Linked DNA regions of Diceros bicornis minor. The protein of the gene in region 1 interacts with the protein of each later gene in a pairwise test. Links are inferred from orthologs where the notes say so. Each region holds a gene or a part of one and is shown on either strand. Other genes may lie near its edges.

Region 1 (9,931 bases):
AAGGATCACAATGGATACACTAAAATACATGAAAAGCCATTAATTCCTAAAAATTCCTGACTTTCATTTTATGAAATGTACTTCAAGACAAAAAGGTAGCTGATAAGGAAAAGGTCTTCTTTATAAAATAATTCCAGCTAATAAACGCAGAAGGTGATAGAATTAGACCACTATTTGTCAACGACTATTGAAATAATGAACTTAAACAATTATCTTCAATGGCTGCTAAAACCAACAAGAGAAAGATTGGTAGGAGATGCTACAGTGGAGGGATCAGGCTGAGAACATCTGAAAACACAAATCAGTCCCAGCATCATTAAAAAGATAAAACCAAACATGATGAAATGCAATAGAAAGTGCATATCACTGCCTGAAATGATTCTTTCCCTTAAAAAATAATTGAAACTGAATCTAATCAAGCCTCTAGCTCTAAATGCCAGTGAATAGGAAACATGGGAAAGGGAAAACAAAATAAATGCCACCTCAAAGAAACAGTCCTCTAAATCCATTTGTCAATAAGACAAATGACTTAGTTTCTGTAATCAATGCTCTTTAAAATGGGGGGGGCGGTAATAGAAGGTCTTATAGGAAAAGAAACTTAAGAGAAAAATATACAGTGGCAATAAACTGCCCTTGTTTGGATACGGATTTAACAAAGCAACTGTAAAAAGACATCTTTAAGACAATCATGGAAATTTGAATATGGACTGAGTATTAGATGATATAAGGAATTATTGTTAATCTTACTAAGTATAATGGCCTAGTGGTTACTTCATATAATGCACTTATGAGTTAGGGATGCATAATGAGTTATCTACCTGTGTAATGACGATGTCTGGGATTGCTTTAAAATACCCCAGTGAAAAAAGTGGGTAAGGAGAAAAGATCAAACAAAATTGGCAAAATGGTATTAATTGTGGAAGGTAGGGAATGGATACATGCATGTTTATTTTACTATTTTCTACTTTAAATATATTTGAAAATTTCAGTAATAAAAGAAAAAAGACAGAAGCCAATGTGAAGGGGCTCCAACTGGCCCCTTCCAAACTGAACAGTTTGAGCAACAGAAGAAATAATGACCACAATGGATTGAAAAGTACTTAATATATAAACATCTGTAAGTTTAACAAAATAGAGAAAGTGACAACAATAAATCCTCAAGAAATATAAAAATACTTTAATCTAGGTTGAAAGATGGTTTTAAATACCAGCTGTAAAAGGCTTGTTGGGGAAAAAAAGAAATTTGAAAATGTATTAGGTATTAGATGATATTAGGGAATTACTGTTAATTTTTATTCATAAGATAATGGTAATTAAATTATTAAGAAAATGTTCCTAATATTAGGAGATGAATGCTGAGATATTTAGGGGTGAAGTGCCATGATATGTGCTCCTCAAATTGATCTATTAGGTGGTATCTCAATCAAAACGCCAAGGAGAATTTTTATGGTAATTTCCAAGGTGACTCTAAAATGTATACGGAAAATCAAAAGACCAAGAATAACCAAGGCATTATTGAAGAAAAAGAACAAAACTGTAGGACTTAATGACCATATATAAGGTATATTATAAAGTTACATTAATTAGGACAGTGGCGCTCAGACAAGGAGAGAGAAATAAACCAAACTGAATAGCATCCAGAAACAAACCACATATATAACCTAATCATTTGATTTATGAAAAAGATGACACTATAGAAGAGAAAGAATGATCTTTACAATTAAGTTGTATTAGGTTGACTAGATGTCCATTTTGACCAAAAAAAAAAAAGGCCCTTTACCCATACCCATAACTCATACTGGCAACATACACAAAAATCAATTACAAAGGAACCGTAAATATAAGTGAGGGATTAAACAAAGACACAACATAAAAAATATCTTCATGACCTTGAGAAAGGCAAATATTTCTTAACCAGGACAAACGAGGAGTAGCCACGAAAGGGAAAAATTATGAATTGAACAATATTAAAATTGAGATCTTCAGTTCATCAAAAGACACTATTAAGAGATCAAAAATGCAAGTAACTGAGATTTGCAATAAATATATCTAACAAAGTATTCACATTCTTAATATAGAAAGATCTCCTACAAATCAATAAGAAAAAGACAGTTCAAAAGAAAAAGTGGTCAAAAGACTTGAATAGGCACCTCATAAAAAGATATCCAGGCCAACAAACATATGGAAAGATACACATTTATCACCAGAGATATGCAAATTAAAACCACAATGAGATACCATTCATAACCACTAGAATGGCTACTTTTTTTTCTTAAAAAGAAAAGACAATGACAAGTGTTGGCAATACTCTAGAGCAACTGGAACTCTTAAAAATTTCTGTTGGGAGTTTTTTAGTACAACCACTTTAGGAAACTGGTTGGCAGTATCTACTAAAGCTAGTCATATACATAACCTATGATTCAGCAATTCTAAGGTATATGCCCAACAGAAATGTGTGCATATATCACCAAAAGACATGTATTAGAATGTTCACAGTACTATTTACAGGCCAAAAATGGTAACAACCAAAATGCTCATCTATCATAATATATTCACATAATGCAATACATAGCAATGAGAATGAAGGACTTACTATAACACCTAATAACATGGATGAATCTCCAAAACAGAATCTTAAGCCAAAGAAGTCAGACCCCAAAAAATGCATACTATACTATTGTATTTTTATAAAGTCCAAAAACAGGCAAAATGATAGCAGTCATAGAAGCAGGACTGTGATTAATTTGGAGTTTAGTTGTGACTGGCAGGGAATACATTCAAGGGCTTTCAGATGTTGATCATGTTCTATTTCTTAATCTCAATGCTGGTTTACACAGGTGTGTTTACACTGTGAAAATGCTTTGAGCTGTACATTTACGATATGTGCATCTTTCTGCATGTTTTTAAGTTTACTTAAAAACAATGCCTGCCAATCTCAAATGGTTCAGCCAAAATATAGATTAAAAAAATATACAAAAAATTATATCTCAATAAAAAAATGGATGGATGGATGGATAGATAGAGCAAGCAAGTGAGTGAACAAGTGAGCTAATACGGCAAAAGTTAACAACTGTTGAATCTAGGTTCGGAGTATAAAAGTATTCATTGTAACTCTTCTTTAAATTTATACTTGTTTAAACTTTTTATTAAAAAACGTTCAAATAAAAAGACTCATCATGCCCCTCAGCTCTTAATATTTATAACTAGGAACTAATTCAAGCACCTGATATAATCCGATTTGTGAAAGGAAACTTTACAAAATGAAATTTCTACACCCAGATTATGTCTTATAAAATAATAAAATAAAATATTCTGTATATTTTCTATTTCTCATTAATAAACAGAGACAAACAGACAGGCAGATGGAGAGAAAGAGAGAACCAGGCCAGGACTGAGTGTCTGACAGACCTTAACTCCATGAACTCCACCACCATCTAGCAAGTTACTATCCACTTCTGAGCCTTGGTTTTATCATCAGTAAAATGACAACGGTAATACTGACCTTAGAGGGTGGTTTTTAACATTAGGGGGACAACTATATTTAAAAGCTTGTCTGTTACAGATAAGCACTGAATTAATTTCAATTTACCATACCAAATATTTATGGGCAACATATGAACACGCAGTGATAAGAGCAGTGAGAGAGGTAAGGAAATATGGTGTCCAATAACACACAATGCACCACAAATAAACAGACTGAGGAAGAGGTGAGGATGGAGATAGAGATGTCTTCCCATAGGGGCTGGTAACTGACGATTCACCTAAATGGTAGCAAGAAGCTAGGCAGGAAGAGAATATGGGGAATTTATATGGACAGATTAGATTATTTGAGTATGTAGAGTGCTGCATTTATGTTATGCAGAAAAGTGACCATGGGCAGGGTGGGGTGAGGGGAAGTGTAGAAAGCAGAGTGAACAAAAAATGCAGAGACACTGACGTAGATTATATCCTGTTTTCCCACTAATATCTGTATAGTTTGTACCCTCACTTCCTTTAGGTTTCTGCTCAAATGTCACCTTACTAGGGAGGCCTTCTTGATCATCTTTTCTAAAATAGTACAGCCCCTCCCCATCACCACCTATTATATATTTATTATATATTCATTTATTGTCTATCTCTCAACTATAAAAGACTGTGTTTTTATCTTCCACTGTTGTATCCTCAGTGCTTAGAACACTGTCTGGCACATAAAAGTTATTCAATAAAAAATTCTTTAATAAATGGATGGATGGATGTACAGTGGGTTGAAGCCAGTGTGATGATGTTTAAACGCTGTGTAATTACGGTTTGAATAGAGAATAGAGACATCAGCAATACCCTTTGAAAAAGTTCCTAAGTGTTTTGGTGTTATGATATCTCTGCCTCATTGTTTATTCTAAAAGAACTGAAAATTATACTCGGCCTAGAAAAAAGAATCACCTCTTATTTTGGCAAGCATAATACACTAGTTACAGGAGAAAGAGGGAATAAATTGCTTGTTCAAGGAGAGCCTTTGTTAAATTCCTCTTTAGAGCCTGAAAAATCCTGACTTTCATTATAAATTTAACGATCATCTCCCCTCACTTGGGTAAAGAACTGAAATAATAAATTGTGATTATAAACTAATGTTCTCATAAGACAAATTACACATGACAAATGGAACAGAAAAATACATTTTACGTTGCAAAAAACGAAAAAAAAAAAGACAAAAGTTTACATTGCACCAAATAGGTAATACTTGCAAAGCTCCTAGGAAAAATCTGTTTGAAAAATCTGCCAGCTTGCTATTCCATGTCGCTGCCAGAGACAAGAAAAGGATCTGCATAATAAACCCAACTCAAGTGAAATAATAAATTTGTGATTGGATGTCATATCTGTCAACCATTTCTGCCCTATGAGAAGTTCTAAAGGGAATGGCAAAGCTTCCACCCTCTAAAGCTGACACCAGGTTATAAGCAAAACCCACTATGTTTGCCCCTCTAAAACTGTGAGGATTCAATTCTAAGTAATTTTTTTTTAATGTCATGAGTAGAGGACTGAAACCAGTGCAATATCTTCTGTGTAATTTTGTTTACAGTAAAAAAATAAAGTAAATGAACATAATAATTTGAACGAGTCCCTATGTCTCTTAGGGCTCTAAAATTTCTGCTTCTTTGCTTATTTCTAAAAAGAACAAAAACAGCCCTGGCCTTGAAACTGAAGTCATACCCGATTTTGGAAAGTATATAATTCACTGGCCTCTGCAGGAGGGGGACAGGAGAGATCCGAAGCCTTCGGAGGAGTAAGATACTGGGGTCAGAAGGAAGAATGTGGGCTCAGAGTGGGGGAAGGGGTTTGCAAAAGTTCTGAGGCTAAAATGGGGTGGAGTGGAAGGTAGGAGTAAGAGGTAAGAAAGAAATCTGTGGTAGAGGGAATGATCCAGGCTCAGAAAGATCGTGAAGAGGATCGGGGATAATGAGGAGAGGTGAAGAATGACCACTGACAAAAAGGACCACAAGAGTCAGAAGGGGGAGGGGACGACCGCCTGCCATCTCTGGAGTAGGAGAGAGGAGATAGGGAGGCGACCGGAACCACAAGGATCAGAAACACCCTTCATACAATGGACTCTGGAGATGAATTCTTCTTTCCATCCCGTGTTGAAGCAAAGAGGAAAGCTTCCCTACAGCGTTTGGGGATTCACTTGTAAGAATTACCAGACCCTTTCTTTACACTCACCTTGACGAAGAAAGCCGCAACGCGACGTTGGCGGGACCGGAAGTGCTATTTTCTTTTGTTTGGCAGAAGCTTAAGCTTCTGCCGCCACCCGCCCACACTTCACTCCAGGCAACTTCCTGTGCCTCTCTAGCAAGCTCTTGCAATACTTGAACTTATTGGCTCTCTCAGCGGATGAGAACCTGGGTAGTGATGTAAAACGACTGGGAGGGGGAATCAGTAACTGTTTACAAATCCCGGCTGTAGTCATCCCAGGAACTGCAGTATCTCTGCCAAACTCCACGTATTCAATTTGTCACCTCACCTTGTTGATTCAGCCTTTGGAATACCTCCTTTACCCTTAGTCCCTTAACTTTTGGATGTCTATAGTTACGTATTTACCATACTGGTTTACTGTTTTCTGACACACAGTTTTGAAAAAAAGTTCATTTTTATTAGTGGCATATTTCAATTTCAAGATTTTTAAAAAATCTTAAATCTGAATCATGTTTGTATTGGGATGATATCCAAAGAGTTTCATGCCATACTCAAATTTCCAAATAAATAAAGGTGAATTCATTTAGAAAGCATTCTTGTATACTTATATACTCCCCCCAAAAATGAAGAAAATGACAACTGACAAAAAGTTTCAATAATAAGAATAATCTTTACTCTCGTTAAAAGTTCAATATTGAATTACTCATTGCCACTAACTCCAGAAAGCTCTTTTGAGTCCAAAATCTGTACCCCAGTTCTCCTCTTTTGTGATTATTTTCATTCAATCCACAAGTATGTACTGAGTGCTTACCGTGTCCCAAACACTATGCTACATAGAGAAGCATTGCACCAGGAGCCTACAGACTAGGGGCTAAAGGTGACATTTAAACATATGAAAGTCTAGCATAAAACAGGTGATTATCAATGTTTGTTCAATGAATAAATGACCAAAATGTGGTCAGGGCAATGATGGGAGCCAGCACAAGGTCCTCACTTTTGCTAGTATTTTTATACTTCATTTCAACATTTTGACTCATATTTTGTCATTCAACCAACATATTTTGAACAACCACTCAATATAAGGTTCGGTTCCTGATACTTCCCATATAAAGAAGAACAAAACATACTTCTGATTTCAAGACCCTCCAACCAGTGAGGGAAATGAACACATAAACAATTAGCAGCACTATAATGTGACAATAATAATCAGTAAAGAGGAGATAGTGTAGGAACTATGACTATCCCATTGACTGGTCAATACTAAAAACCTAAAATAGACCTCACGTCCTACAGGATGCTCAATAAAGACTTGTTCAATGTTGAATAAATGGTTGAACGGATGAATGAAAGGAAATAATGGCAGTGGAGTTGAAGTATCATGTGAAAGGAGCAGTGATGAGAGATGAAGCTGGATGTAAGAAGCCAGAGAAAGAAGGATCTTGCATGCCATGTTGTAGTGTCTGAGCTTAATTATGAGGAAAACAGAAAGTCAAAGAAGAATTTTAAGGAAGAAAGTATACAGTAACATTTCAAACCAAAATATAGAAAATGGGTTGTACTGGTGCAATCTGAGGCAGAGACGTTGGTTTAGAGGATATTGTGGTAATCAATGAATAAATACAGAAAGTTAGGGGCTTGTGCTATTAAGAATTAATTATATTTGGGAATTGAGCTGAAAAAAAAATAGCCAGTGGATTATCAGAAATCCAGAGGCATTGAAACTTGAGTATTTTCCTTGACTCTCTCTACATTCAAATTTTTTGTTAGTTCATGCAACAAATATTTACTGAGCAGTTAATATGCACTGGGCTCTCAGGATAGAACTGTGACGAAAACGGACAAAAATTTCTGCCCTCACAGGAGTTACATTCTTGTGTCAGATAACAAAATTTTTGGGAAAATACATGCTAAAAAGTGACAAGTGCTATGAAGAAATAAAGCAGGTAAGTAGGATAGCAATGTGTGTGGGAGAGAGGTAGGGGGCTGCCATTACAGAAGGGCTCACTAAAAGGGTGATATATGAACAACATTGATAGATTTCATCCATTTCTCTCAGTCACCAAGATAACTATCTTAGTTCAGACTCTCCATATTTCTCCCCAAATCCCAACTCCTTACCATGGTATACAAATGCCTTGGTAGTCTAACTCTGTCTCTCTCTCTCTCTCTCTGTCTCTCTCTCTGTCTCTCTCTCTCTCTCTCTCTCGCCTCATCTCTCACCACTCAGCCTCTTCTACCCTAAGTCCAAGTCTCACACAACTGCTTATAATTTGGAAAGTGCGCCAGGATCTCAAATCTCTGTGCTTTCACACTCTGTTAACTCATATTCACCCTTCAAAGGTCAGCTCACATTTTATCTCTTTCACGAAACCATGCTGACTCTTTCTTTCACTCCTTAACCAAAACTAGACAACAGCTCCTCTTCTCTGCTTCTGCCATGTATCCTATTCTTATCACTTTCTTTCATTCACTCAACAAACATTTGTTGGTCAACTACTGTGTGGTTGTCACTGCTCAAGGCAGTAGAGAGACATGCATAAGTAAAGGAATGAAAAAAATCCTTGCACTTTGGAACTTACATTTTAGTGAGGAAGACAAGCAATAAACAAAACAACGTAATAAATATGGAACTTACAAAGCAGTAGTTATCAACTCTGGATGCCCATTAGAATCAGTAGGAGACCTTTTGTCTTTCTTCTTTTTTTAATACCAATGCCTAGTTCCCGTCCCAGCCAAAATTAACCTAAAGCTCTAGGGGTGAGGTCTGGCATTTATATGTGAATTTAAAGCTCTTTAGGGTGTTTCTGATGCACGGAGGAGATTGAAAATTACTGCCCTACAGGCTACACCTCAGGAAAAAGGAAATGATCCCAGAAGGACAGTCTGAAAAGCTAGAAGGAATGGAGAGCAAGTTAAAATGATAAACATGTATGTCAATCTAAAAAACAAATATGGTATGTATAAAAACATAATAATTAGGACTGAGTTGTGGGGTTGAAGAAAATGGTGATTCAAAGATTATGAACAAAAATATTATATAACAAGAAAAGATGGAGATAAGAATTAAATTGAGAGAGAAGTTAATATATTTTTAAAGTTCAGACATTAAGTTAAATAATTGTAATAAATATTCAGAAGTTACTACTAAAATAGCAGAAGCACAGTGAGAGTAAAAAATAGAATAAGCAAAATGCATAAATTTAAATCCATAGAGAGATAAAATGAAATAGGATAAAAAATTTCAATCATTAAAAACAAGAAGCACATACCTATATAAACAGAAAGACATGTGGTTTGATGGATAGTGTTTACCTCTGGGATAGGTGAAGAGAGGCAGAGGAGGATCTCATAGCCAGAGAAAATTTATTAATAATTATCTTGCTCTTGAGTTGATAGATGGTTCAGAAGTGTTCATTATACCACTGCTGTTTATAATTTACAAATATATTACACATATTATTTTGTATATATCATCTATTATAATAAAGTTACAAAGAATAATTTAAAAAAGTAATTACCAAAAAATGAGATAAAATTATATGCAATAAAAACTTTCCATCTTATACCTGGCCCCTAGCGACCTAGTGAGGTTCTTATTCTTTCAAAGACATTTTATACATATGCAAGCAAACAATTGTATATATTTTTTTACATTTTTACCAAACAATAGCATATGATACAAACTATTTCGCACCACGATTTTTTTCACTTAACTATATATGTAGGCATTCATTTCTCCATGGTGCATAAAGACATTTGTCATTTTTTTAAATTACATGCAGTAAACTACTTTTTTGGCATGTACAGTACTACGAATATTAGCACATGCATTGATTCATGTAACCACACTACAGTCAGAATACAAGACAATCCCTAAATCCCTCAAAGTCCCTATGATATCCTGTATTAGTCACACAGTCCTCCCTACCCCTAAACCCTGGCCGACTCACCTGTTCTCTTTCAGTCTAGTTTCTTCTTTTCTAAAATGTCATATAAATGGAAACGTAGAATATGTAACCTTTTGAAACAGGCTTCTTTTACTTTGGATAACACTTTTGAAATTCATTTAAGTCGTTGCATGTATCAATCATTCATCAGTTTTTATTTCTGAATGGTATTTCATTGTATGGATGTATCACAAATTGTTTATCCATTCACCAATTGAAAGATATTTGGGTGGTTTCCACTTTTGGAGATGATCAATTAAGCAGCTATAACATTCATATGCAGATTTTTGTGTGAACATAAGTTTTAATTTCTCAAA
Region 2 (9,931 bases), on another chromosome or scaffold:
GCGTATGCACTTGCCCTTCTCCACTCCTGTAACACCCTTCTCAACCCTTCACATGCCTAATGCTCTCTTATCCTCCAGTCAGGAAAATCATTACCTCCTTCAGTGAAACCCACGCTGACCCACCCATCAGATAAAGTCCAACAACCTACACCGCCTTATTCTTATCCCACCACCCTGCTTGTTTCCTGCACAGCACTGTCCACAATCTGAAAACATCTTCTTGATTCACTTTCTTTTGCATCATCTATTCTTTTACTGGAATGCCAGCTCCATCGTGGCGGGGACCTTTCCTAACTGATTTGCTGCAATATTCTCAAGGCCTGGAAATAATGTTTTGCATGGCCAAACGAAAAATGAATAAATGACTGAATGTGGAAACAATGTTTTCCACAGCCAAATGAAAGAATGAATAAATGATTGAATGTGGAAACAAAGTTGTGCATGGCCAGATGAAAGAATGAATAAGTGATTGAGTGTGTCATCATATATATCTGTAAAAAGCAGTGGCAATAACTGCCTCCCTTTGCCTATAAGGTTCTAGAAAGTCCAAATGTATTCATTCATTTCTCAATTTTTTTTATTGACCAACTACTACATATTACATGTATTACATTATTCTAGGCATTGTGGGTAGAGTAACAAACAGAATGGAGAAGTCTGTGCCATTATGTCACCTACAGTCTAACGAGTCAGAAGGAGCACACCAAAAGTGCTCTGTAAACTGCCTGGTACTTAACAAATATAAGAAAAATAGATTAACAAGAGAGCAATTGGAAGTGGGATCCCAGGCAATAGGCAGTAGTCACTGTTTGCTCTTTTTCAGCCAGGACCAACCAGTCAGGACCACAATATGCCAAGAAGACGGGAAATAGACAGGAAATCCATTTTTCCCAAATGCTTTCAGGAGCCAGAAAGTTCCAACCATATAAGCCCTTTCCTAACCCTATGACAGGCTCAGGCACTGGATTCGGGGATCCTTCAGAGAGCCCCATCTCTGACAGTGTCTCCCTGCAGGGGTGGCCTGCAGGATCGTTGCTCATTTCCCCAGCTCTCTTGCACTCAGCACAGTGGAAGGGCCAGGGCCAGGGCCCTCCTGAGCTATTGTGCCTGAGAGCTGACCCTATCTGACACAGCCCCTCTCAATGGGGCCAGGCAAGGCATGCCACATCACGCAGACAGCCACGGGTCAGTGCTCAGCCCGGTAAAGTTCTCTTGGGCGGTGCCGGGAAATAGGTAACTTTACTGATGAATGGAACTTTCTTTGCTTTTCTTAATTGAATTAAACAGCACCCTGGGACACCTCTCCTCATCCATTAAAAAGGTCTCTGCAGATGGGGCAATTACGCCCACACTTTGTCAGCTCTGCCTCATTCACAGGATGACATCTCCTGCGCACCACAGGGCCCCTTAGGCACAGACACACCAACCTGATTTTGTTTACAATGCTGCAATTTCTTTCTCTTCCAGAAGACTATTATTTGCCTGACAAACTACCCTGTTTTTACCCGGCCAATATGAATAAACAAGCATTATGTTTCCTCTTGGGGCAGAGAGCCTGGTTAAACGAATCAGAAAACCCTAAAAAAGATTGTCTACCCTCAGTCCATCAGCTACTGGACAATTACTCAAGGGCCAGCTGTAAGGAAAACAGATGGTGTGTGAGCACTAATAACACGGGCTTTCTCCACTCGGGCAAAGGCAGAAGCGGCCGGTTGCACGTTTTGACACGGAAACTGCTATGAAATGGCAGGCAGCCCTGCCGAATGGCGCAGAACTGGGTCTAAGGACTAACAGATGCTTACAATTTTCACAAATGAATGTCGGATTAAATAATCTTAAAGCAGAGGCAACCCAAGTAACCCCGCAGTCAATAAATCCCCAAAGATTCCTGAAATGGGAGAAACACAGAGTGAACCCCAGCCCACCTGAGATATGGGCCTTATCTGGCTAATAAGAGCCCCACAATTCATGTCTTCTCACCTTAATTGGAAAAAGCAGAGAAACTAGGAAGATTGGTTAATAAACCAATTTATGACATAGGATCTCTGTAGAAAGAAACAGAGGGACCTATGTTTTATCAGACAGTCACCCGGGCCTGGAAATGTGCTCATTCCAGCCACTTAAATTCCTTAAACAATTCAGACATGAAGATAATCTATCCTAATTCTTTTCTGCGTTATTGACACAATTGACTACCCCAATCCACAGCACGATCTAATAAATCAACATGGGATTAAGCCAAGAAGAAAAAAGGTGATAAAATGCCATTGGGCCCCTATAAATCATCGGGCTGAGCAGCACAAGGAAAGTAACTGGAATGAGAATTGAACTTTTCTACGCAGCCATAATTGCTATGGCCTACCTCACGTTTCCCAAATTTATAATCGCAGCCGGTGCATGGGGACGCTGCCCCCTCCTACAGTCTTCATGTGAGATCCCATCTTCCGGGTCACCCTACACAAGAACCACTTTCTAATTAAAGACAGAAAGGGTTGCTATGCAGGTTTCAGTTCAATTGCTTTCGATCTGAAGATGTCCACGGTGAGCAATGGCTTCATTTACCAGGAATTACCCTTTGTACAAACCACTTCACTATTTAAAACAAACCACATGGATCATCATTAAGTGGGAAAAATTACCAATCTTCGGATATTGACAGTGGCATGGCCTATTTTAGAGCCCCTTTTTTCTCCCCTCTTTTAATGTGGATTTTAAGCATTTGACTTGTTTTTAAATTTAGCTTGATAAAAAGGTTCTGAGGGAATACAATTTGACAGATGAGAAGCTTTCTTAGAACGGGACTGGGAGACACTGATGGTGGTTTAGGAACAGGGAAAACTAAGTTAATATGGTACTTCTCCTCTTTCAGGAAGGTGGAACTCAGCGTGAAACAGCTCTGGGGGAACCTGACATGCAGCGTGCTTCAGAAAACAAGTCTTGTCTGCTCTAGCCGAAGCCTTGCCATCCTTTACCATGCAATGAATGTTCTCTGGTGGGCTTCCTGTGACTTAGGATGGGAATAAAGCATCTACATTTTTGTGTTATGAATGTGAGTGTGGTTTTCTATTTCTCTCTCTGTGGAAAACAAAACACATTCTCTTTCGAACTAGCCCACAGCAAACCCCCAAATTTGGAATTTGGATTCAGAATTTTCTCTCAAAGCCAGAATGTTTAAATGGGTACCCACTTTGGAACTCTGGACAGATTCTGTATTGGGGAGATGTGAGTTGAAGTTCATCTGGGAGAAGAAGATTCACCATCGAAGAAGACACTGGATAAAGCCACTGCATTGTGTCAAGAACAGAGGCTGAAGCAGGGGCTTTCCGTGGACAGCAAAATTGAAGCCAGTTGTTCCAGGGCTTGCCTGTCCCTTCCATCTGAGAATGGTCTACAACCACAAGATAGTAGTAACATCTCCAACTTTAAAAGAGAGGACAGAGAGAAAGAAAAAGAAATTAACTGTACCAAAATACCTATCCAAAGCAGAGTTACTGGAAGATATAAATAAATGAAATGGAATAAGTCTAATAATTTAAACACCGACGTCGCCTCTTCTTTGGCCTGATTAAGTAAGTTCTTTGTGGCAAAAGGGTTACATAGTTTTCACTTGGTCATTCAGAGAAGACTCAGACGCTGAGGTATCCCAATTGATTTTTATTTTCATGAGTTGTCTTAGGAACAAATCTGGGAAGGTTTAGGAAGAAAGATCGGATGTCAGGGATGAGGCAAAGAAAGCAAACGATGAAGTAATTTTCCTTAGATACTAGATGAGAAATAAGTGCCATATGAAAATTCGTTCCAGGAAAATATCTTTCACTGAAGACTTGCTGGCCCCTAAACAGAGTTTGCGCATTTATAAAACAGAATGATAAAAGCTCCAAAATAAGAGAGTTGTGTTTTAATTATTTTCTTATATAATTGGTGATCTGAATGACAAAGACTCCTGAACTATGTTTATTTCTAAATAATAATAAAACGTTTCCAACGAAGGTGTCATTTATCACAGATGTTGCCTAATTCATCATTTGATCAACTAACTCTGAGAGTACATATTAGCCCTCTGATCATCAAAATTAAATAGAGATACAATAATAGCTATAGATTAATAGCAGATAGAAAATATAGTGGCAATATATGTATAGACGATGTATAGATCGTATCGGTAAGTGGTTTGTGGATATTGAAGTGAACTATTTCACACCATTAATCAGCCAATTATCTGGACTGCTAAATAAAAGCAGTGACATGAGACTTCTACACAAACTATCATGACAGCAATGGCTGGGAGAGACCTGAAGGTATGGCTCTCCCACCCTGAGAGTGAGCCTTTAGGAAGGATGGGAGGTGTGGCTAGAAAACCTGATTCTGAATAAGACAGACAAAAATAAATGTCTGCCTGTACTATGCTTCAGGCATTTAGTGAAACTCAGAAAAATACACACATGCACGTACGCACACGCACACACACCGCATTCTGACACTATCACAGCATCACCTTACAAATACTTCCACTGAGAGCATGACAAGCCCTTTCAAGAGCGGGGTGCATTCCAAAGCACATTTCAAAAACCCACCTCCATCTATCTTCATATAGAACCATGACTCTGATTTAGTCATTTCTAAATATTTGTCATGGCTGCTAACATTCCCATTGAGCCTCCCCTTTCCATGGCAGGAGTATTTTCCCTCCTGGAAAAGATTGCCTGGGAGATGCTGAGAACTCCTGCATGGATCCTATAAACTTGTCCTTTTCATGGCAAGAATAACCTCTCACTCAGAGTCCCTGTCTTCTTTCCTGAGTTGTGTCTAAATGAGCAAACCAATTTAACAATCTAGAAGGAGGAAACATCGATCTATTAAAAAAAGAATATTGCACAGAGAAAGTGTGAGAACACTGACTACCTATAGCATTCTATTTATTAGGTACTGCTGTTCAAACTGATTCATAAATAACATGAAAGAAGTGAATACAGGGAGCAAATGATCAACTAATATTAATAATTTGATTAAATCCAACTGAGGCTTATCATCTGTAGAAATGCTCATTAGGACACTCTTCTGGTGGGTAACTGGTGTAAAACACACTCACACACACACACACACACACACACACGGGAACTCACAGAAAAGGCATAGAAATGTTAGAAGCAGATGCATCATATAATATGTTACCAGTAGGCTCTTGGGAAGTGTTTCCTGGCACAATTTACTTAATGAGAAATGGAATAAAACAATATTTAAAAAGATAAACCAATTTGTTTCCAAGATATTAAAACAACAAAAAAGGCTGTTGGCAAAAAGACTTGCAACAGAAAATACACCTAAGAGCGATTTTCTGGAGGCAACCAACTTGATAACAAATTACCCAAATGTTGGAAACAGAATATTGACGTTTTATGAACACATATATTCCTGTAACACAGATTGAAACTGAGGGTCTTCGGAGAAGGAGGCCCCTCTGAACACTCGTAGAGGAAGTTTAGTCAACCCCAACCACACACAGTTAACAAATGGTGCTCTGGAAGGGAGTCCATCGAAAAACAAATAAAATGTCTACAATCACTGTTAACTCTTCATGCAGCAGGGTGGTTGATCCTAGGAAGGGAGAAGGATTCCCATCGGCATGAGAAAACCCTCCTATCCCTGCCGGTCACATCCGCAGCCCCTGCCCAGTGAGGCAGAGCTGGGCTTGTCACTCCACAAGGTTCCCAAGCCCAGGAACCAACTCAGCCTGCAGCCCTACTAGTAAAGAAGGAAAGAGAGACAGAGAGGGTCCAAGGGAAATACCCAGAGAAAGACAGAGAGAAACATAATGAATGATTCTGAAATGTACACAGAAGGGAATATAAACACAGAATCCCTGGCAAGACCATTAAAAGGGAATAGAGGAGAAAAAAAAAGCCTTTACACATGCCAACAAAGACAGCATCCCAAACTGCTCGCCTTCATCACAGCACACCAGTGAGTTTGGAGGCAGATTCTGGGGCTGAGACACTCCAGAAACCCAAAGGCTCCCATCCCAAGCGGACTGAATATAGCACAACCCAGACAAACTTAAGAAAACAAAAATACGGAGCACACGTACACACACACATATGTTTTTCCACTCCCTATTAAAACAGCTGAATTAAAACTCCAGGCACCCAAGTGCCTCCACAAAGATCCAAACTCTTAGCATAACTCTTAGCATCAAAAGGGTCTTAGACTCAGATCGCCACCGGACGCACTGTCACGAGAAAAATGCGAGGTAGGAAGATGCAGTTTGCAATTTTAAACTCCCTGTACCCAAGCTCAGAATCAGGCGTTCAAAGTATTCATTGAGGTGTAAAAACAGCTCAGCGCGGGGTGTCTGGGCTCCACAGAGAACGAGGGGCTCGGTCCCACCCCTCCCGTCCAAAAGCATGAGCCCCTTCCCCAAACCCCTCCAAGGTACCAAAGCGCAACCCAGCGACGCGGGTACCGAGTTCGCCGAGCCCCGGAAAGCAGCCACCGAGGGAAGACGCGCGCCTTACCTGCTGTAAGTACATAAAAGTCAAGGCACACGAGAGCTGGGGACACATGCCCACGTTGGGGAGCGCCACGCAGGTGGCCCCCGTCAGAGGATGCTGCATCGTGTCTCTCTGGCGCCCGCCAAGCACGACTGGGGACGCTCGCATGCAATCACGCCGCTCTTTGCCTGGTCGCTACAATTTTTTTTTTCTTTTTAATTTTGCTGATTATCTAAGTCAAAACCCGGTGGCTGTCTTTCTCCTCTCTCTCTCTTTCTCTCTCTCCCTCCCCGCTGCCGCACCCCGCGCGTCCCTCCTCCCTCGCTTTCCTTCCCTCAGGGTTTGCTAGATCCAGGCGTTCATCTGCCTCCAACTAAGACACTTGAGAGGGCCAGGAAACTATTTTGTTTCCTTTGTGGCGCTATCGTTTCTCTGGTTTATTGGGCCTACTTTCTGATGCCCCTCAAAGTGGAAGGTGCCCCCCACTCCACGCCCCCGGGAAGATGACAAGAACCGGCAAAGGCAACTTCTGTGAAAGGTAGAGGGGGTGGATGCCCTCCTGTAGATGCTGAGTAGAGGGGGGGGATAAAGCTAAGGGCGAGAGAGAGAAGGAGGGGGAGAAAGGAGGAGAGAGAGAGAGAGAGAGAGAGAGAGTGAGAGAGAGAGAGAGGGATTTTGACTCACACTGAGGCTCACTCGGCTGGTGCTGATGCTGCGTGCCTTCTCATTTGTCAAATGGGTCCAGGGGCAGGGTTGTTTTTTTTTTTTTTTCCCTCCCCTTTGCCTTTTTTATTTTTTTTTTAAACGACTCACCAAAATTCAAATTGTGTCTGCTAAAAATCTCCGCGGGGCGGGTGAGGAAGCAAGCGAGCGCCCCACATCGCCAGCATCCAGGCGAGCTGGACAATTACTGCGATTGCCCAGCTGGGACCCGGAGTCTTAGATTTTGGTGGCGGTTTGTTTGCCTGACTCGTTGGAAAATAAACACAGAAATGGGATTCCCCCTCGTGAGAGTGCTGAGACGATGCTAGGGGCTGGGGGCAGGGGGGGCTGGGGCTGCAGGCGCCTGAGGCAGGGCGGTTTCTGGGGGTCCCCCCACCCCCAGCAGGGCGGCCCGGCCGGCGATGCACCCCCAGGCGTGTGGGGCGCAGCTTTCGCTCTGCGCCTCGTCTTGGCTGGGCAGGCAGCCGCGAGCACACCTTCCAGCCCCTGAGCCGCTGAATGGGAGAAACCGCCCTGGCTGGCGTGCAAATCAAGCTTGTTGGACTAACTAACACGCCAGTCCCCCGTGAATGCAAGGGGGGCTTCTCTCAGCCTAGAATCCCAGCTCTTCTCAAATTATAAATGCGCAGGATGGGGAAGTCCTTGTCTGATAACAGATTACTCTGTGGGCTGCAGCGGGCAAATTACAATAGTTTGTTTATTTTATTTTTCTCCTTCCTGGCCAGCCCTCCTTGGCCAAATTAGCATTCTGTTCTTGCAGAGGGGTCTCCCCGCTCCCCTTTATTTTATGAAGTAATAATTATTCATTAGTAGATTTCGTTAGTCTTTATGCAATAAAATGGGATGTGATCTGCAAATCAAAAGAAAATATTAAGACTCTAACATGTCCTTGGTCCCCACAGAAAATAAAAGTACATTCTTGGCAGCAGTAAAATGATGATCAGGAATAGTAGCCATATTTTATAACATAGATTTTGACCCAGTGATTGGATTTTCTTTTTATTTTCAGAGCAAGAGGCTGTCTGAACAGCATCTTTTTTGATTGCTGGGTTCCCTGCAAGGAACCTAGCTGGGAGCCTGCCACTGCCCTGCAGATGGAGCACACCCTGAGAGCGATGGGGGCACCCTCAGGAAGGGGAAGTTAAGGCAGGGTTCTCGGGGACTGGCCACCAGGGGCATCCCCACTGACCCCTCAGTGAGGCTCACGAGGACCCTCTCAGCCAAATGACAGCTTCTGAACTGAGCCATGAGCTCGCAAGGCACAACTCACTTTGCAGGCTAATCAAAATGCTTTCTGAAGAAAAGGAAATTAATTACTCCACGGCTTCATTTTTTCTGTTGTTCTGTTTTGAAATGCCATCGATAACTATAAAGTCTATGCCAAACACCAGGCCCTGACCAGGCTGTTTCTTTCTCCTCATCTGACAAATCCAGCCCCTCCAACGCCCTGGGACTTACACATCTGATCAATTTAGAGGGGACACGGTAGCATGCTTAGCCCTAAGTAGAAGTTGATATGGGAGATGAGTGGAGCATGGGCTGGTATCTGATGCTGCCTTTTTGGTGAGGGGGTGGCAGTGGTTAGTCTGAAAAATCCTTGCTCTATGTTGTTTCAGAAATCACATTAAATCAGACAAGGTCTGATTTCCAATAAACTGTTTCTCTGTTTTCTTTGTTTTCTTACTTTCTGCCTGTCTTTTATTTATTTATTTTTTTAATTTTGCAATTGCCAAAATACATGAGAAAGCCACTCCACAAAACATATGTGGAATAAAAGGTCAACCATTCTGCCTTTTCCATCCTTTCTCTCTTCCCATCCTTTCCTTTTGCCTCAAGCAACTTGCTGTACTGACAGGGGTTCATCCTGCTTTCCTTCATTTTTCTCTTGCTGGAATTGGAAAAGCCTGCAAATGCCCCAAGAAGAGGACAGAATTTTCCCTTCAGCTCATTTTCATAAAACACGATAAATAATACATGGCACTTCTTTAATAAGACCTTATCTGAATGGTTTAATGAAAAACAAATACATTATGTAAGGAGCCAATAACTGCTCTCTGCTGCACTCAGCCAACACTGGTTTTCCGATCCGTTTTCTCCCCAAAGTTGAAAACCCTCAGTGGTGATTGGAGTCCTATAGACCCATTTGACAATAATGGCTCAGACTTCCCGTTAAACTTAGGTCTTCATGGTGGGGTGCATTGGAAGTCTGCAAAGCGAAACAATGGAATCCAATCCTTCTAAATGCATCTCAAAATTGCTCGGAACCAGGCTGCATTCTCTGGACAACGAAGTTGTCCAGAGACAACTTCCTTTAGTTGTTTAGGGGTGTCCAAACACCCCTGCACAAGTGCATACAAACACGATTATGCACAGAGACAAACACACGCCCCATCATGCGGCACCCGCATGAACGATGGGGTAGGACAGATTTTACAGGGGCTAGTAAACTCAGTTCACGTTAACCAGGAATAGAGCATCGGATGACCCCAAATCAAATGGTAATGCCATATCTACAATCATTGCTCACTCCATGTCAAACCTCTGCCAGCCTTTTAAGAAGCATCTGGGGATGCTGAATTTGAATTCTGTCTCAACAGAGACTGAGCAAAAGCCACATCGATGCTGCTAGCTCCCAAAGGATTCTTCTACATCAATAAATGAGAGAAGTGGGGAAAGAAAACACTCTTCTCTTTCTCTACACACAATCCTTGGGCACTCAG

Evidence for each region.
Region 2: the proteins of MAGED1 (region 1) and RBFOX1 interact in a two-hybrid assay, tested with the Homo sapiens proteins (2 studies listed by BioGRID and IntAct). The link is inferred for Diceros bicornis minor from reciprocal best matches to the Homo sapiens genes MAGED1 and RBFOX1.

Annotation. Positions count from the first base shown.
Region 1 is NC_080781.1:44,340,676-44,350,606, reverse strand, and holds the start of MAGED1 (melanoma-associated antigen D1), read right to left. Parts: upstream 5,775-9,931; 5' UTR 5,695-5,774; intron 1-5,694. UniProt on the Homo sapiens protein: Involved in the apoptotic response after nerve growth factor (NGF) binding in neuronal cells. Inhibits cell cycle progression, and facilitates NGFR-mediated apoptosis. May act as a regulator of the function of DLX family members.
Region 2 is NC_080765.1:41,856,480-41,866,410, forward strand, and holds the start of RBFOX1 (RNA binding protein fox-1 homolog 1), read right to left. Parts: upstream 6,612-9,931; coding exon 6,513-6,611; intron 1-6,512. UniProt on the Homo sapiens protein: RNA-binding protein that regulates alternative splicing events by binding to 5'-UGCAUGU-3' elements. Regulates alternative splicing of tissue-specific exons and of differentially spliced exons during erythropoiesis.